Linked DNA regions of Solanum lycopersicum. Each later gene encodes a partner of the first gene's protein in a complex. Links are inferred from orthologs where the notes say so. Each region holds a gene or a part of one and is shown in the gene's direction. Other genes may lie near its edges. The genes, in order: WPP domain-interacting protein 1, RAN GTPase-activating protein 2, WPP domain-interacting tail-anchored protein 1, RAN GTPase-activating protein 1 and myosin-15.

Region 1 (4,014 bases):
TTGTTGTCACTCGAGGTACAATATTAGCTTTAGAATCAATTAATTTGGATTCGTGTTGGAAATTGCCATGAGGTGAAGTGTTCCTTATTGAAGGAAACAAAAAGATAGAACAATCCATTTATTCGAAGAGAACTCTTTTGTTTTTTTGAAAATAAATGTAGATCTTATTCGTGAAGATAGAGAGATCGTTTTTCAAAAATAAATATAGATCTTACTCGTGAAGATAGAGAGATCGTTTTTGAAAATACAAATATATGGGAAGGTAACAATTAAATGCAACATGTTTCTCTGTCAAATACTCTGGCAAAGTGCCTAATTATTTCCTCTCACACAAAGAAGATTCCATCAATAATTGAACACACAGATTTGACCTCCACTTAGTTATTTCTGCAGTGTCATTTTCCATTTTTTTCCCCTAAAAAACACTGCATCATGTGGGTTTCCACATCATCTGCACACTACTTTGCCCCACTTTGGTCTCTTTATCTTCTTGGCTCTCCCATGTTCTATCCACATCCTTTTATTATAATCGTGACGTCTGAGTTAGTTTATACGTATCTCGATTATATTTTAATAAGATATCTACTAATCTTTACCTCCCATCAATACATATATGTAAACTTTTTTCACATAAAGTTATGTACAAATGAAAAGATATTACAAAATTTATATTCGATACTTGCATAATTCTTAACTTAGTTCATTAATCTAAAGGAAATATTTCACGTGGACTAACACAACTTTATTCATTATAAAAAATAAGTACAAAGAATAGTTTTTAACCAATTAAATCAAATTGGTTGTGTTAAATTTTTACAAAACTAATATGATTTCTTTTTATATATATATTTTTAATGATTTGATTGATATAATAAGTTAAGCTAACGTTTTAATTTTGGTTACCGTTGTGTAATAGCATGTTATAGAAATTATCACATTTGTACCAAACAAAACAATGTTGTTGATGAAACGGTCACATTTGGTATTTAAGTTAAAAAGTATAATCTTCTATCGAGATTTCAAATCGTGCACTACTAATATTCGACCTTTCTTAGTGATATTGCACTTAGATATAGAATATATTGTGACTATGAGTTATACACGTTATGAATTTTAAACATCAAGTTAGAAATTTAAGTGGAAGATAATAATAAGCGAGTTTATTGCTTATTGAAATTTCAAATCGTGCATCATAAATATCGAGTTATTGTGTAGTGATTCCATCGCAAACATAAAGTAATCCCCCAAATTCTTAATCTTTCGTAATGTCAATAGTAAATTAGAAAAAAAAATTGAAGTTGTCAACTTCTTCCTATAGTTCATATAATAATTAATAAAATTATTGAAAATAATAATAATCAATTACGTATTATTAACAACTCCCAACCCGACCCGATCTACCCCACTCCTTTTCAAGTCGTCTTCCCCAAATTATCAGTTGTAGCAATTTTGTGGCTATAAATTTCTGAATCCACATCAAATCTAGGGTTTCCATATTCCTCAATTCCATCTCATTTCTGCAAATCCATCGATCATGGAGGAGAAGGTATGAACGATTTCGTATTCTTTTTATATAGCTTCACAAATTTATGAATTCATTTTTAGTTCCAAATTGAGCATAATCCATTCATTTAGCTGAATCCACTTATTTTGCTGTTGTTGTTAGTGTTTTTAGCTGGAATTTTTACTCAAGCTATGCAATTCAATTTATAGTGAATTTTGATAGATTTTCAGTTTCCATGAACTGGAATGATGGTTGTTTGTTTGTTCTCGATCTTGATCTGAGTTCTTCATTTCTGTTTTTTTCATTTAATAATGAGTGCAGTTTAATCTGCTTATATTGGACTTTCTGTTTATGTAGTGTTCTGTCGCTTTCCCAACTTTTATTTGTCTATTCAGTTCATTATCAATTTACTGGATTCATCTTTGGTTCCAGATTGAGTATAATCGATAGTGATGATTTGTTTAGCTAAATCCAATTAGTTTGTTGCTGTTAGTGTAATGATCGGATAATCCAATTCATTTATCCAAGTTATGTAAGTAAATTCTCGATCTCGATCTGACTTATTCTTCTTCTTTATGTTGTCTAAAAGGCTAAAACCCTGAACTTTATGCTGTAATCGAACTTGATTGGTCAAAGTTTGGAGCTTTAGTTGGTGGAAGACATGAAGCAATGACCACCACACTTCAAGATTTGGATGATCCAGATCGGAACAAGGTTGAAAGCAATGGTTCCAGTGTTATTAATCACAATACCCCTATTTTAGATGAGTCTAAAGGTAAAGGTATTGAAACTGCGGACCCAGTGGGTTCACCTCCCTCAGTGAAATCCTCACCAACAGCTAAAGGATTTGGCTTGAAGAAATGGAGGAGGATCAGGCGGGAAGCACACAAGGATGAGGACAGTAACACAGACAATGCTAAGTTGTTGAAGCGTGGTTTGTCGAGCTCTGCTGCAAACTCAGCAAAACCTGTACATTTGTCCACTGGATCGATCCGAAATAGTGATGGATCTGTTTCTTCAGTAAATGCACTATTGGGTAGCCCTGATGTTCTTGTTGATGGCTTTGGTCTTATTGGTAATTCTGGGTTGGCGATTCATCCTATATTTTTGGGTGGAACAGACTCGGAAAATAGTGAGGATCGGAGTAGTAGGTCTTCGACTGCAGCCAGTGCTCCAAAGTCAAGGTACGAAGCACCTGTTTTCCATGGTTATATGCCTGTTAAGAATGGGCCAGGTACTTTGGGTGGGAAGATGGGTACTTCAGCTCAGCAATCTCATCGGGGAAAGGGTCAGGCTGAAATTAGTAAAAAGCCTAGAGGAGAAAGGGTCAAAATAGAGAAGGAAAACTCTCATTCAAGCATGGAATCCGACTCACAAAGCTCCAATTTTCTACCTATGCAGAGTAATAATCATGCAACAAGTAATGGTATGAAAGGTGGAAGCTCAGTGAATAATGATGGACAATTCAGTGATGAAGTTCTCACCAGAGAAAGACCATTCAGCGAGGAACTTCAGACTGCTCTAGACAGAAGAAATGATAAGGAGTGTGAAACTCAAGAAGATCTAGGCGTTGAATCCGCCTGGGAGGTTAAAGAAGAGAGGAGTGGGTATCAGGGGTTGTCCACAGATCATGATCCTCTGCTGGAGTCTATCTTCACCCTTCAAGCTGCTCAGGAAAATCTTGAAAGAGGTAGATCTTCAGTTTTCTTTGAAGTATACGATTTTGAGCCTATTCTAGTATGTTCTTTTTTTGGTTTTGATTATGCCTTCTATTTTCTGCTTGGAGTCTTCAGCATATTGTATGAAGCAAATTTCTTTTTTGGGTGGAAGTTTATTCTAAGTTCAAAGAAGTATTAGAATGATTGCAGTCATTGCATAGTTATGTGCGACGTCCCCACACCCCGCGACCCGGACGCGTCCCTGCTTTCCCCAAATTTGAACATTTTGTTGTCATGCCCAAGAATTTAGGACTGGCATTGCTTCAGGAAGAGGTGACAGCAAGTCATGAAATTCGATCTGATGTAGTATTGGTAATCTTAATGGTTATGTACATAATAGAAGGATTTGAGTGTGTTCTAATGGTTTTCGCTATGATGCATTTATTGCTTCAAGAATCAAGATTATGTCAAAAGAGTTAAGGTTATTGAAACAATACCATTAAGTTCTTCAGTTTGCCTAAAATAATCCTTTAACTTTGTTCGTAGCTAGTACAACAGATGTTGGTTATGCTTTTTTTTATTTTTTTATGATGAAATATTGGTTATACTCTTTGAAAAGTTGATATCTATTTGTTATAATAAATTCTGATATTGCAACATTGAAGGTGGATAAATGTGTTGCTATTTATTATTTTGATATTGTTGGCTTGCTCAAGATATGTAGTTTAAGCACCAGGACGTGCATTTTCATTGGCTGTAATTAACATGTTCTGTTCTATTTTTTACCACAAAAAAGGTTTTGGAGGAGAGATAATTCTGTCCAATTTAAGGCATGAATAGCCAACATGTTTC
Region 2 (4,017 bases), on another chromosome or scaffold:
AATGAGACGTTATTGTATTACGTGTAATTATAGTTATATTGCAAATTTTAACTTAATTTAATCTTGTTAGATGTTAGTTTATTAGCATTTTAATATTAATATTTAACATATTAAATTGCTCACTAACATCATATAATCTCGTGAATAGTTTAAATTTGCTAAAGCCTAAATGGCTTAAAATTATGATATTGTTTAAAGTAATATTATGATGAACATAATTTATTGCTTTCTATGTTTATGATAGATAAAAATCTAATAATAATAAGAGATATAAATTAATATAGTGAACAAAATTTGTTATATTCTCACTTTTAAATTCGACAATATAAACACGAAAAAGTTAAAAGAGTAGCACTTTAATTTTAGAAAATTTCAATTTGTGTAGAAATAGAAGTGTAGTAGGAAGTTTTGAAACTTTTTAGTTGGATAACCATTATTTTTTTCAAAATAAAAATTAAACCCCATATGACTAACTAATAATATACGTGTTTTTTTTTTTCAAATACAATTTTGTAATTTTATTTTTTGTAGCGTTGACACGTAGGTACTATAAAAATAATATTTTTAAAAAGTAAAATTACAATTATTTTTTTCAAAATAAAGATTAAAAGCCCTCGACTAACTACCAATAAACATGTCTTATTTTTTTTCAAAACAATGTTATAATTTTTATTTTAAAAAAATATTATTTTTTTGGCGCGCTATCACCTATATATATATATATATATATATATATATTGATGGATTGATAATTATGACTAACTATCAATACACGAGTTTTTTCAAATACAATTTATAACTTTTATTTTTAAAAAAATATTATTTTTTGTGGCGCTTACGCGAAAGCACTATCACCTTTCCTGTTATACATATAGATTATTTTATGAGTGATTTTTTGAATCTATAAATATAAATATTTCATACTTATAAAATACACCGTAATAGAAAAAGAATTATCTCCTTTATCTTCATGTCTTGCCATTTTCAATTTATAACTATATTGTTATGAGCTTAATTTTGTAATAATTATTCTCATTAAATAAAAAATATTTTGAAAAAGAAATCCAACAATTCTTTGATTTTGAATGATTTGTTTATTTTAAACTAAGAAAAAAAGTTATTATTCAAAATATATATATATTTTTTTTACATTAGGTTATCTCTCGAGTACAAGATAGTCGAATATAAAAACACTGTTCCCACACAACACACAGCACACATTGCTAACTTCATTTTCAGTTGAGATTTTCTTCACTTCCACTCTCTCCGGCGGCGCGTCGAACTCACACATTCTCTCTCGTTGTTTGCCGGTGAGTTACAACACACTCACTCCAACGGTAATTAGAAAAATCCCCAAAAGTAATTTTCTTTTTCTCTTGATTTTTAGGGTTTTCGCGGTTATGCTCTGTATGAGTCAACTTTTTTGGTCATGTGATTTCACAGATCTGTGCTGGATTTTAGTATTTTTTCTTGTTTAATGTGCTTTAGTTTTTGCTTTTATGTAGTTTTTTTATGTTTATTATTTTGGGGTTGGTAGAGTAGAGGTTGCAATTACTGGGAGGAGGACTACACTCTACAAACCCCCACTGTTAGGTATAAAGTTTTTATTTTTCTCGTGAAATTTCTTTGTTTGTAGGGGAAAAAGAAGGATTTTTGTTTTGTATTACAAGTTTCTGGTGTTTTTAGCGGCTCTGTAAATTGTATATATGTTGCTCTGTTCTGCTCATATGATTCCTTGGTAATGTGTGGTATTTTTTTTTGTATCCTAGAAAGTTTTTTTGTGTTATAGTGTGAAATGTGAATATACCTGGGAATGTACCATTTTTGGTTTTTGAGTTTTTTTTTACATTGTTGGATATGAATATGGTGCATTGCAAGGTGGTTATAAAATGAGAGAAAATTCAATCTCGTTTTTGATGATGGATGACTGTAGAAACTTTCCCGTTCTTTTAGACACCTGCTTGGTGTTTTGTGGCGAAAATATTGAGTTGTCAAACAATTATATCTGATTTCTATGACGAAGAATTTGAGCTCTTGAAATTTGATTCGCTTTATGTTAAGTTTTTCTTGTAGGTGTGCACGAATTGTTTCTTGCCTGGTACTTTGTTTTTTGGTTGTTATGTTTTTAACTGCCAGAGCTTAATCTTATAGTGGTTATATTTCTTGAAAGATAATCACTTTATTTTTCTATAGAAACTAAAGACACGATTCACTATATTCCTTTCACTCTAGGTTTTCTGCCAATGGATGCCACAACAGATAACTCTCAGCGCAGACCGTTTTCAATTAAACTGTGGCCTCCAAGTGAGAACACAAGAAAAATGCTGGTGGAAAGAATGACGAATAATCTTTCTAGTCCAACCATTTTCACCCGCAAGTACCGCAGTCTATCCAAGGAAGAGGCTGCCAAAAATGCTGAAGAAATTGAAGATGCAGCTTTTACCATTGCTAATCAACATTATGAGAAGGAGCCTGATGGTGATGGAAGTTCTGCTGTGCAACTTTATGCCAGGGAATGTAGCAAGCTTATCCTGGAAATTCTAAAAAAGACTCCCAAATCAGAGGACAAGGAAATTTCGATTTCTGAGGTAGTTCCTACTGTTCAGGAGACCTTTTTTGATATCTCAAAAGGTAAAAGGGCTTTTATTGAAGCGGAAGAGGCTCAAGAACTTTTAAAGCCATTAAAAGAGCCTGGAAACTCTTACAGCAAAATTTGTTTCAGCAATAGAAGCTTTGGTATAGATGCAGCACGTATTGCAGGCCCTATCTTGGCAACCTTGAAGGATCAGTTGAAGGAAGTTGATTTGTCAGATTTTGTTGCCGGAAGAAATGAGGCTGAAGCACTTGATGTCATGAATATATTCTCAGAAGCTCTAGAAGGTTCTAACTTGAAGTTTCTGAATCTCTCTGATAATGCTCTTGGTGAGAAGGGAGTTAGGGCATTTGGAAAGCTCCTTCAGTCTCAAACCAACTTGGAAGAATTATTTTTGATGAATGATGGGATTTCACAGGAAGCTGCAAATGCTGTTAGCGAGCTAGTTCCTTCCACCGAGAAGCTTAAAATTCTTCATTTTCATAATAATATGACTGGTGATGAAGGGGCTGTTGCGATTGCGGAAATTGTGAAGCGCTCTCCTTTATTGGAAGATTTCAGGTGCTCTTCTACCAGGGTAGGTTCTGAAGGAGGGAGTGCCTTGTGCGAAGCACTTGGGATGTGCTCCCATTTGAAGAAGCTTGATTTGCGAGACAATATGTTTGGTCCAGAAGTTGGTCTTGTGTTGAGCAAGGCACTCAGCCAACATGAAAATCTTAAGGAAATTTACCTGAGCTACCTTAATTTAGAGGATGAAGGAGCAATTGCAATAGCTAACGCTCTTAAAGATTCAGCCCCTTCACTTGCTGTCTTGGAGATGGCAGGTAATGATATAACTGCTGAAGCTGCTTCAGCAATAGCTTCTTGTATAGCTGCAAAGCAGCTTCTTGCCAAGTTAAGCTTGGGTGAGAATGAACTCAAGGATGAAGGTGTAATTCAGATTGCCAAGGCATTGGAAGGACACAAACATCTGACTGAAGTTGATATGAGCAGCAATGCACTAAGGAGGGCTGGGGCTAGGGTGCTGGCTCAAACTGTGCTGCAGAAAGATGAGTTTAAATTACTAAATGTTAATGGGAATTTCATCTCAGAAGAAGGCGTTGACGAGTTGAAAGAGATCTTCAAGAAATCTCCTGAAATGCTTGCATCCCTGGAAGATAATGACCCGGAAGGAGAAGACGAGGGTGACGAGGAGAAAGAATCTGGAGATGAGGACGTTGAGGATGAACTAGAATCAAAACTGAAAAACCTGGACGTCAAGCAAGAGGCAAGTGTTGACGCACACGCACCAGATAGCAATTAGAATCCAGTACTTGACGATTTTTCTGCATGTGGCAGTTTTAGTTTTACCATTTTCTTTATGCTAAGCTGGCCATATTATGTTCCTCCAGCAAGTGCTTCTAACATATAGTTCCATCAGTAAT
Region 3 (3,283 bases), on another chromosome or scaffold:
TCTGGACTTGAAATTTGAACCTGGGACCTCAAGGTGCTCAATTCATTTCATTGATCACTAAGCGACACCCAAGTGGATGCGTGTCCTTTCATGTTGAGCAGTATTTGGTGTTTTATGCTCTACGCAATTTACTTATCCCACAAACCTTTTCGATGCTGATTGACCACCCCTTTGGATAATATATGGAAAAAGGAAGATAGAGGAGAAAAGAAGAATGTCTGCAAATATTAATGATTTTATTTCTTCTAGCCATGCATGTCTGGACAAGGAAATGTGAATTGGTTCTCTCTGCATGAGGCGTTTTGTTGCTATTATGTGCTTGACTTAAAACAAGTAACTTTTGTGACATTAATCATCCTTATATAATCATACTTCATGCTGATGCATCTTGACAGGGCAAGATGGCGAGGCAGCAGACTATTTTAACAGTGATGCACTTTTAACTCCAAAGACGAAGATAAAAATGCAGACTGTTGAGCAGCAGAGACACATTCTGCGGATGCTGGAGAAGTCTTTGGCCAGAGAGTTAGATCTTGAAAAGAAGCTTACTGAATCTAGACAAGTTGAAGAAGAATTAGAAGTCAGGTTGCAGCAAGAAGCTTTCTGCATGGAGGAAGAAATTGAAGATGCTTCGCAAAGGTTGTTTGAGGGAGAGAATGCTGCTGAAGTTCTTTTAGGAATTTCAAAATCACTACTGGGTCGACTCCAGATGACACATTTTAATCTGAACGGTACTGTTCAGAAAGAAAGCTACTTACAATCTAAACTTCAAGAAATGGAGGAACATTTAAAAGCAAAAGACAACTTACTAGGGAAGTCTGAAAGCACTTCTAAAGAGCTCGGGGACAAGGTTAAATCTCTTGAGAAACGGTTGGAGGACTCTGAGTTCCAGCTGTCCAATACAACATCTGCAAGGAATAGTCAGGAGATAGAATCTAAGATCCTTGAAATGGAGGATATAATCAATACGTTGAAGGAAAAGAATTCTGAAGCAGAGAGAAGAATTGATACAGCAGAAACTGAGTGTAAAATATTGAAAGAAGCAAATGTGGAACTTGACAAAGAGCTGAACTTCCTGAAAAGCAGTAGTAGCATTACTTCTGAGAGGATAATTGTGCTTGAAAAACAGCTGAGGAACTCTGAGCTTCAACTTCAGCACGCAGTTGCATCTGCTGAAGCTAGTCAAGAGAAGCAAATCATGTTGAATTCTACAATCAAAGACATGGAAGATTTGATTGAGGATCTAAAATCAAAGGTTTCTAAAGCAGAAAGTTTGATGGAGAGTGCTGAAGATAAGTGCATTATCTTGTCAGAATCTAACTCAGATCTTAATGAAGAATTAACTTTTGTGAGGGGTAGGTTGGCATGTTTGGAGTCATCGTTACGCCAAGCTGAGGAAATGAAGAAGGCTACTGCCCGAGATATTAACTTCCGCAGTAAATTGATAACAGATCTAATTTTGCAGTTGGCTCTTGAAAGAGAGAGACTTGAAAAACAGGTTTGTCACTCCTTCCTGACTCTCATTCCTGTTATGACTGGAATTATCTTGATAACATGTACGACTTCCCTTTTCCTCCATCTATCCAGTTATTTTGAGTTTTTTTGTCTATTGACATGGTTAATGGCCTTAAATGCCGATTGATGACTGCGTAATTGAATACCAGTTATTAATCTGAAGCAGCCTAAATTATGCCTAATTATGAGATGGCATTTGGATAAGACGAAGTTTTGTGTCAAAAAAAAATATATTTATTATTCATGCACTTTGGTGGAATCTTAGCAGCTTCATTATTTTAATGACTTCTAAAATGCAGTTGTTGTGTGTGCAAGCTTGTCTGTATAGTTGATGCATTTTGTCCTTTTCCTTTTTTTACTTGTTTTAGCAGCAATATCTGTTCATTCGATCGAGTTTGACATTTTCTCGCTCTGAATTTAGTCAACTTTTCAGAGTTCGTGACCATATAGATCACACTGTAATCGTTAGAAGTATTTCTTACTGATAATGTATATGCATAGACGCGCACACAGACCCCATGCACACATTTTCTTGTTTGATAAACAAGTATTTTAAACGTCAGGTATTCTTGAGTTTCCAATGATCTCTACAGGTTCACATATTCGGGTTTTATCCTTCCTATAACACTAACACTTGTACCACTTCCAGTGGCTTCTTTCACTGAGCAAAAACAGTCATGGTCAAAGGAAAGGAATGAAAGTGGGCTGAAGCAGCGCAAGTCTGTGCACACTTGAAAGTTTTAATGGTGTTTGTTGATAATTATTACAGCAACCTCCCGTTGCAACATTTGCTCTTATTGTAGGAAGAAATTGGCTTAAAAGGAAGAGTTGAACGAGCTATACAAGACGATTTTGACCATTATTAAAAAAATTTGCTCTATATTAAAATTAGTTAGTCAGATTTTCAAAATAGTTGTTTTTATAAGTAGAGTATGAGTTGTGCTTAACTTGTGACAAGTTATTCAGTTTCCAGCTTGGCCTTTTGTGGTTAAAGTTGGTTATTCTTTCCTGCATGACTTCTTCATGGAAGAGAGTTCATTTGGACTAAATGTTAGAACAAAAGCATTGTTTGAAGACTATTAAAACATGGACGTAATTGTATAATTTTTCTCATCTAGATTAGTGTTTTTTCTGCAAAAAAATGTTCAGATAGCATTGCTGATAATGGAAAATAAGGCCCAGAAGAAGCCTTTTCAGCAAAAGGATAAAGTTCCTTCGCCAGCTCCCGAAAGTGATGGCAAAGATACCAGGGAATCCATGCTTCCCAAGGCTGAGCTTTCTGCTGTAACTTCTCTGAATAAATGCAAGGAAGAAAAGTTCTCATCAATAACTAATGTGGTACGTGCTTTATTTGGTCTTATGCTTATTTTTATTCACGACTCACGAGTCATATGTTCTTCTGGTTATTTCAGTATTTGAATTTACTATTTTAGATACCAGTCAACTATTATATTTTGATGCTGTACATCCCATCATCAGCCAAATAACCTTAGCTGTGTGCCTGTGCCTATAAGTGAAAAGATCTTGAGTACTTTGTTTTACTCAAAGCTTAACTTATCTGGTTGACAACTTAGCAAAGGAAAGATGCCTAACTCTGTTGTGGCACCATTGTTTCTGTTAATTCATTTTCAGGAAGAGAATGTTTATGGTGACTTTATGTCGATCAAGTCAAAAGAGACTGATTCTTCAACCAGACTTGATGCCTCGCGGGACATAGATGCAAGGCAGCTTAGTTGGAAGTATGTCCTTGCAGCAGTTCTCGTGTTTT
Region 4 (3,956 bases), on another chromosome or scaffold:
ATGAACATTCAATGGAAGCAGTGCAGGAACATAAAGGAAATAACATAAATAAACATCACGGAGATAGTCACGTAAACAGAATGCATATTTAAAAAACATCAGACACAAGAGGAAGCATAAAGCACAAATATTTCAAGATGAAGTATGCTTCTTAGAGGGAAGTAAAATTGAGCAAAACAAAGCTACAAATAGAGTTTCTAGCTATAAAAGAAACTTTAATATAAAGGGGGCTTGTTGGTCAAATTATTTGAGTTGGGAGTTAATGACACCAGGAATAAACGGAACATCAAGCGCACAATCGGAGTCAAATATGAGCAAAAACGAAGCCCACCTATGATCCCTTGGGACTACACCTCGATCTGAAAGGGAACGAGAATCAGTAGCTCATACACGAAAGAAAAAGAAGGATATAAGGACGAAAATCTTACATGTAAGCAAGGAGGGCGGTAGAACTTCAAAGGCATTCAAGGAGCTAGATGGAATGATACCACGTCAAAAATCACAAAGATTACTTGGTCAACCATGAAGGAGACAACTTAGAAACGGCGGAGAAAGGATGGAAATGGGGTAGGGTTTTAAGAAAGTCAAGTGAAAGGATAGTTGATGGAAGAGTTTTGGAAACTCTACATATTATTTCCTTTTGGACCCGGGTACTACTTTTTGGGCCAAGTCATTTGTTGTTTCATGTACTAATCGGGCATTAGCCTACACTAATAAGATGATCTTCTATCAAAAAATTAATTTTAAAAAACATTTTAGTGAATTATGATTATACAAAGTAATAAAAAATCTTAATCGAACATACCAAGAGGTTGCTAAGATATCGGAGATAACAATATTAGATTAAACCATCATAAGAATCAATAATAGATTCAAATACAAACATCTACTGCAATTTAAAATAATTCCCCAAAATATCAATAGGTAATGATGACCTTTTGTGGATATTTTCAGATTAATAAAAGAGATCATAAAACTCTAGATGAGGAATTCAACGGCTCAGGGGGAAAGAGAACCATGAATAGAAAAATCCCAAGTTGAACGATTGTTATAGAGTTTGAGAGCGAGAAAACAATTAAACAGATGAATATTTTTAAATATTAAAAAGAAATAGAATAGAAATGAGATTTAACGAGTGTAGTATAAAAAACTTTACACTATAGTGCACACAAGTTAATTCTCCTATTTCAAATAGTTAAAAGAATAATTTTGGCCCTTTTTGTGGCTTAAAAAAAGGGGCATTTTCCCTCCAAATCGAATTCCTCAAAAATTCACGACAGCAGCACACGACTATCATGATTGCACATAACTTGTATTTGAATTAGTTTTAATTATCTCTTTATCTTTACTCCAACTCCACGTCTCTCTCCCCTCTCTTTTCTAGGGTTTTTTGGATCTCTCTCTTATCCCACTTCGCCACTTCTAGGGTTTCTTCCAACCAGTAAGTTTCCTCTTACTCCTCTCTGTTTACATTCATTCATGAAGATTTTAGGTCTGATTTTGTTTTGTATTGTTCCATTTGTCTATTCCTTCAATTATGGTTGCATTTCCTTCTTTTTTTTCATCATTTGAATGATATTTTCTGCTTCGTTTTAACGAATACTGAGACTCACTTTTAAGTATTTGAATTAGAATATAGTTTATGTTTCAGTGTAGATTTTGATGGAGTTCAATGAGTTATGCCTCAAATCTTAGAATAGTTGATGTAGACAATGTGAATCATTTGTATCTGTTCTGCTCTATGTGTGCCAGTTTTTAGTTTTGTTTAGTATATTTAGAAATGGACATTGAAGGGAAATGCATTTTTTAATGATGGCCTTAAGGATGAAGGTGTTTGGTTGGATTTTGTTTGTACTAAAATGGAAGAAATGTGATATAGTGGGATTTGTGAACTCTTATTCATGGCTCTGCTGGTTACACTTATTCCTTAAGACCTTCAGTGGCAAGTATTATTGTTTTTGTTTTTCTGTAGTACTCTGTAGAAAACTTGAGAAGTCCCAGTGATTTGAAAGAGGCATGCTTAGTTCTTGATGGCTCCTTCTATCTAACAACGCCGGACAAATGAAATAGTACAAAATTTGTTTTGATTCCGTGATCGATCAATCTTCGTCTTCAAGAGGAAGGGAGTGAGGGAGAAGCAAAAGATGGAGTCTTTAGTCCTGTGGCTATCTGAAAATTTTCCCATTAATCAACACAAAATGCCAATAAATCTATTTCTTATTTTCTCTTGAATTCTATTTGAATTATTGCTTGATGCAAGGGAAAAACCAAATGCTATAAACTCAAAAACTTTGAGATATGAACTCAAAAACTTGCTCGAACCTTGACTAATTCCATGTGGTACCTTCTACCTTCACCAACACAATTACCAGTTAACTCTGTCAACCAAGGCTTAAACAAATAAGAAGAAATCACCTAGTGTTTTTGCTGCTGATGGAAAATGAACTCATGATCTCATGGTTCTCAACCCCTTTCCTTGACCACTGGGACACACCCTTGGGTGCCTCAAGCATAATGAGTTTTTGTGTGATATTTGCTCACAAACTTTAGAAATTACTTTGGGAAGTAAAAGAATAGTCATCTTGAATCATGGATAGTAGCTTATCATAAAAGTGCATTTTCTTTTTATTTGGAGATGAGATGGCAGCAAAAATGGAATAGTTCACCACCTTTTGTGAGCCTTTTGGCCCTCTACAAAAGGGAAACAATAATACTTCAATAGATTAATCGAGCTCTTAGCCTTCTAATGGTAAGTGCTTAGATTTGCTCAACTGACAAGATATAACGGTTAAAAGTCTGAAGTCAACTTCCTTTTTTGGATCAAATATATGATTTATCATTTAGTTAAATACATTGTATTTGGTGCACAGGGGAGATGTTTCGTTTGAGGAAGATATTACCTTATTGCACCAGTGTGATGCTTGTATGTAATTTTAACTCTTGTGTCTGTGTTTTGCAACTTATGACCATGACCTGAATGTCAATATGCACGATCCTTACTGTTATCATATGACTAATATCATTTTAGAAGTCTTGCATTTATTGGTCATTCTGCTAGTGCAGTGAGATAAAATAAATCTGCTGATCAAGTGACTGCAAACAAGATGCCATCTGTACTTATTTTATGTGCATTGCAGCACCTCAGCTGAAAAGCTTGGAAGGTGCTGAGAAAAGACAAGAAATTGGAACAATTTAATATTAACTGACGTCAAATGTCAGAACTCAGAACTGTTTGTTGCTACTTGCTTGTTGTGGGACAACTCATGTTTATTATCCTGAGGATATATACTTGTAAGAAACATTATTCAAATGATAGACTATGGAAGAAATCTTCCTTTTTCTTTGAAACTCAAAAGTAACAGTGCTGTGTGGAAAATAGCGAAGCTTGTTGCTGATAATGCTTGGTGGTTAATTGTTAGTCTTGTTTCCCATAGTACTTTCTTGTGGAAAGTACCACTAGGCAGGTGCGGATCCACATAGAGCTTCGGTGCTCGAGCACCCATGGACCCCTACGTGAAATGTATATAGGTATATAAAAAATACTATGCAACCTATATAATTAATTAGTAAGCACCCGTTAAATAACTGTTGGATGTGACTCGTTGGTTAGTAAGTGGGTGCTGAAGCTGTGGTACCGCAGGTCACGAGATTGATCCTCCACAAGTAATTTTTATATACTTATTAAGCTGTCTAATTTTCTATGTTTAGCATAAGATATTCACGAGTGTAAGAGATGTTATTATTACTCATTTTAATTTTAAAATGCGAAAAGTCGTCGAGTACATTATAATTTGACTCAGTCTTCTTTCCCGATAGTAATATTAAACATGACTTTTGCGTTAATGTTTTTCACTATTGTGTTTAAATAGTATTTGCACTTGTACTAAATGAACAGTAAAATTTAATGTTAAAAAAAGTGAAGCACCTACTAACTTCAGATCCTTGATCCGCCACTG
Region 5 (4,242 bases), on another chromosome or scaffold:
TCAAAACATTCTTTAAATTAATCAATATTAATTTATCAATTAAATAATACTTTTATAAAATAATAATATTTCATGGTCTCATTTATATTAATTTAGCGAGATTACAATCCCAATGACATCTCCCTTATTTAAAGGTCCATTTGGCCATGTGATATGAAACCACAATTTAAAGTTATGATATGAAATCATAACATAAAATTATGAGACATATTTGAAGTTTTGTTTGAATATGCAGTTTGAACTTTTTATATTGTATGTTTTTTAATAAACATAAAAAATTACAAGTTGTAAACTATTAAAATTATCCCATTCTTTATACAATCTTACCAAACAAATAAAAATTTATAAAATTGTACAATATATTATCACAAAGCTATTGTAAAGATACAACATTTATGGATCTAACCTTAATTCAATAAAAATAAACTGAACATAAGTTTAGTATTCAAGTTGTTAGTAGCTAAGAAAAAAATTTGCTCAATTAAAGCCGCAATAATTAGTCATGTCCACTCAATATAATGATGACTTTTTATTATTAATAAACACTGATTAGATGAAGTCGTAATAAATTTAATTTAAAATAATCAATTTGGTGAATATAAATGATAAATTAAGAATTGATTTGAAGTAAACAAAGATTTTATATTAACGAAAATATTCGTTATATAGAATATAAATGGTTTAATAAGTAATGATAAGAATTATAAATTTTATTTACATATAAAATAAAAAGCTAGTAAATATATATAAATTAAATACAATTTTTTTTAAAAAAAATATAAAACTTGTAATCAGTTTTTGTATTTGGAAAATTTCAAATCATAAATTTTGGAGAATTTAAATTTTTATGTATAATATAAAATTATGAGATAGAATCAACTTTAAATCACATGTTCAAATTAGTTTTCATCTCATTTATCTATGGAAGGATAAATTTGAAAGAGAACAATTAATACTTTCTTAATTAATAAAAAAATAATTTATTTTTAAATTAAATATAAAAGTTAAAATACCCTAGGGAATGAAGTATGATTTAGGTTGCCGTCCCACTATTAACAAGATTCACAAGTATGGTCATAAACTCATAAGTGAAACTTAAAGTAAATATACTATAATAATTTTCTTTTTTATTATTTATAGTAATAATTTTTTTTCACTTGATTATTTAATTAATTAATATAATATTATAAACAATAATTTATTATTCACATATAATATAAATTCTAGTGATGAATGATATATTTATCACACATTTTAATACACTTATAAAATAATGTGACAATTTTTTATCAAACAAATATGATATATTTCAATAAATAATTATAAATTCATATATATTGCATAAATAATTTTACTTTTAATATATATTACAAATATAACATAATATTGCTATAAATAATAATAAACAAAAAATATTGCTAATAATCAATAATTATTTTTAAAATTTATTAATTTATGTAATTTTACAACAGAATAGGTGCTTAAGCAATCAAATCCCAAAATAAGAAAGTTTTGAAAAAGTAGTACCTCAAAGTGTAAATGTGGAGCTATAAGTTTCCCGTTTAGTAAATATTCTTAAGATAACGCTGGGAACTGAGAGCCAAAAATTTGGACTCTGTCAGATTCTCCATTTTTGGTTTTAGGGCGGGAAGCTGAAATAATCAACCTCTTCTTCTTTGTTGTTATCGTCCTTTTTTCTTTCTCTCTCTAGGGTTTTGCGTATTGCTGAAACCAATTCAAATATCAAATCCGAAAAATCCCCAAATTTTCACTGAAACCAGTTGTTGTTCTTCTTTCATGTCAATTTAAGCTAATCCAAACCCATAATATGACACTACGAAAGGGTTCTAATGTATGGGTCGAAGACAAAAGTTCCGCTTGGGTTGCTGCTCAAGTGACTGATTTTATTGGTAAACAAGTCCAAGTGGTTACTGAATATGGCAAGAAAGTGAGACGAACACTTGGTTATGAATTTTCTCTGTTAATTTTGGTCAAATGGGTTGATGGAAAATGTGACTGAATTTTGTTTTTTTAGGTATTGTCATCACCGGAGAAGCTGTATCCAAGGGATGAAGAGGCAGACCATGGAGGGGTTGATGATATGACCAAATTGACTTATTTGAATGAGCCTGGAGTTTTAGACAACCTTCAGAGAAGATATGGTCTTAATGAAATTTATGTGAGTTGTGAATTTATAATTCTTGGTATTTCTTTTTATATACACAATATCTTCCAACTGTATAAATTAAGAAAAAGCTAGGATCTTTATATTGATAAGAGTATCATGTCTTCACGTAGTTAAGATGCCACTTCTAACATTAATTACTGTTTTAAGAAGGATGCTTTGGGCATGGAACTGGTGTGTGTGTGTGTGTGGGGGGGGGGGGCTACCGCAACTGATTGTATACTGTTTGCTTTGAAGGAGGAATGAAAACAAAATGCATCACAATTAAAATAAAGGTTCCTTATCTTATTTCTTGAAGCATTGTGATTCTTTGTGATGTCTATGTACAAAAAAAGAAGTAAAAAAGTTTGCTAAAATAGTTCCTTTTATAACCCATTTAGAGTTCTAGCAATAAGATAATTAAACTCCAGAATCAACCAGTGCCAATTTTGGTATAGTTCGGGGTTCTACGTTGGCTCTGATAGATGAATAGTAAATACCTTGTTCTGAATGTCCCTTTGTTATTCGACGAAAATGGGTATTAAGACACTTTATTGACTTTTATTCACTATAGTAGATTGATTTCCCCCCCTAGATCACTGCAGTGTGTTTGCAATATTTGTCTAAGTATGTCCTTGATAATATTTTGGTGAGGAAAGAGTGAAAGCTATTTCTTGTGACTGCTTCTAAAATATCTTGATCATGGATTTTGACATATGTTGTGCTCACCTAAATGTTGAACCAAAAGCTACTGTTATCAAATTACGTTCGTTATTTAAGAATCATCATTCGCCTGGTTGGGTTTCACCAGGTGCATTTTTTGTCTTCATTAGCTTTAATAACCATTTTCTTATATGCTCTAACACCATCATCCTACAGGGTGCGTTGCAACATAATTGATTTCTCTCTTTTTTCCTTAAATAGACATATACAGGAAGTATCTTAATAGCTGTCAATCCATTCACTAAACTTCCACATCTGTACAATGTACACATGATGGAGCAATATAAAGGAGCTCCGTTTGGTGAGCTTAGCCCTCATGTGTTTGCTGTGGCTGATGCATCGTACAGGTTTGTTGACTTGTCATTTGGGGATCTGGTGACTTTTTCCTAAAGTGAATCAATTAGTGATTTGTTTTTGCTCAAATTTTCCTTGTCAGGGCTATGATGTCTGAGAACCAAAGCCAATCTATATTGGTTAGCGGCGAAAGTGGAGCAGGGAAAACAGAGACCACAAAGTTGATAATGCAATACCTTACCTATGTTGGTGGTCGTGCTGCTGCTGATGACCGAACAGTTGAACAACAAGTTCTCGAGGTACTGCTGCTTACTGGTTTTATAGGCATAACATCAAATGGTGATTTTGTTTGCAACTTTAGGAATTTCAATTATAGGGTCTTTTCTGTTATTTTCTTAGAAGGGTGTCAATTTTTGTTCGGCATGTCAACATAGAGCGTCTCCCACTGAAGACTGATTGCTTGGTGATCTATTAGCTTCATTAGAATGTCTTTTTCAATTACTTAATCTCATGTACTATTTTTTCTAGGACTATTGTTGTCTCTGTTAATGAGAGCAATTTTTATTTTTAATATTATAAAAAACTTGACAGTAGCAGTCAGGTATGACTTATTATTTACCAAATACCTAGAAAGTGCAGTTTCCAATCGGTCAGAGTACAGACAACATTCTTCTTTATGAGCTATGGAGGAAATTAGCTATAGTTTTTTCTTCAACTTCACCTATATGACATCTATTTTGCAGTAAAATACTCCACTTCATTAGGTTATCCCATGAGAGGCAAATTTTGTTGATTGCAATCCACCAAGAGTGTGCCACCTTAGGAGGTGCCTTGCTTTCCCAGATTGCCTTCTACAGTCCCCTCTTCCTTGTTGTATAGAAAATAAAGTTTTATAGCTAGATTTGGCAGTATAAATACCTTTATTATCATTTATTGTCTCTATGTCATTGCGTTCATTAGTTCATTCCTTCTCCAAGTTGAGACCGTCCTATTTCCAATTTGACAAGTTTCTTCTTCTTTTTGTAAATAAATTCCGTTCTCAGATCCACTATAGTTGTATG

What was found.
Region 2: WPP domain-interacting protein 1 (region 1) and RAN GTPase-activating protein 2 share a complex: the UniProt entries of both Arabidopsis thaliana proteins name them as parts of the ran complex. The link is inferred for Solanum lycopersicum from reciprocal best matches to the Arabidopsis thaliana genes WIP1 and RANGAP2.
Region 3: WPP domain-interacting protein 1 (region 1) and WPP domain-interacting tail-anchored protein 1 share a complex: the UniProt entries of both Arabidopsis thaliana proteins name them as parts of the ran complex. The link is inferred for Solanum lycopersicum from reciprocal best matches to the Arabidopsis thaliana genes WIP1 and WIT1.
Region 4: WPP domain-interacting protein 1 (region 1) and RAN GTPase-activating protein 1 share a complex: the UniProt entries of both Arabidopsis thaliana proteins name them as parts of the ran complex. The link is inferred for Solanum lycopersicum from reciprocal best matches to the Arabidopsis thaliana genes WIP1 and RANGAP1.
Region 5: WPP domain-interacting protein 1 (region 1) and myosin-15 share a complex: the UniProt entries of both Arabidopsis thaliana proteins name them as parts of the LINC complex. The link is inferred for Solanum lycopersicum from reciprocal best matches to the Arabidopsis thaliana genes WIP1 and XI-I.

What each region holds. Positions count from the first base shown.
Region 1 is NC_090809.1:846,342-850,355, forward strand, and holds the start of WPP domain-interacting protein 1, read left to right. Parts: upstream 1-1,201; 5' UTR 1,202-1,546; intron 1,547-2,093; 5' UTR 2,094-2,173; coding exon 2,174-3,194; intron 3,195-4,014. UniProt on the Arabidopsis thaliana protein: Mediates and enhances the nuclear envelope docking of RANGAP proteins mediated by WIT1 and WIT2 in the undifferentiated cells of root tips.
Region 2 is NC_090800.1:74,925,827-74,929,843, forward strand, and holds the start of RAN GTPase-activating protein 2, read left to right. Parts: upstream 1-1,215; 5' UTR 1,216-1,310; exon of another isoform or gene 1,311-1,359; intron 1,360-2,232; 5' UTR 2,233-2,243; coding exon 2,244-3,896; 3' UTR 3,897-4,017. UniProt on the Arabidopsis thaliana protein: GTPase activator for the nuclear Ras-related regulatory protein Ran, converting it to the putatively inactive GDP-bound state.
Region 3 is NC_090801.1:52,969,670-52,972,952, reverse strand, and holds part of WPP domain-interacting tail-anchored protein 1, read left to right. Parts: intron 1-395; coding exon 396-1,498; intron 1,499-2,664; coding exon 2,665-2,853; intron 2,854-3,147; coding exon 3,148-3,283. UniProt on the Arabidopsis thaliana protein: Together with WIT2, required for the nuclear envelope docking of RANGAP proteins in root tips.
Region 4 is NC_090808.1:59,911,046-59,915,001, reverse strand, and holds the start of RAN GTPase-activating protein 1, read left to right. Parts: upstream 1-1,156; 5' UTR 1,157-1,441; intron 1,442-3,956. UniProt on the Arabidopsis thaliana protein: GTPase activator for the nuclear Ras-related regulatory protein Ran, converting it to the putatively inactive GDP-bound state. Plays a role in spatial signaling during cell division.
Region 5 is NC_090807.1:50,288,949-50,293,190, reverse strand, and holds the start of myosin-15, read left to right. Parts: upstream 1-1,441; 5' UTR 1,442-1,585; coding exon of another isoform or gene 1,586-1,631; 5' UTR 1,632-1,828; coding exon 1,829-1,948; intron 1,949-2,035; coding exon 2,036-2,179; intron 2,180-3,088; coding exon 3,089-3,234; intron 3,235-3,323; coding exon 3,324-3,480; intron 3,481-4,242. Other genes in the region: uncharacterized protein, read right to left, coding at 1,586-1,631. UniProt on the Arabidopsis thaliana protein: Myosin heavy chain that is required for the cell cycle-regulated transport of various organelles and proteins for their segregation.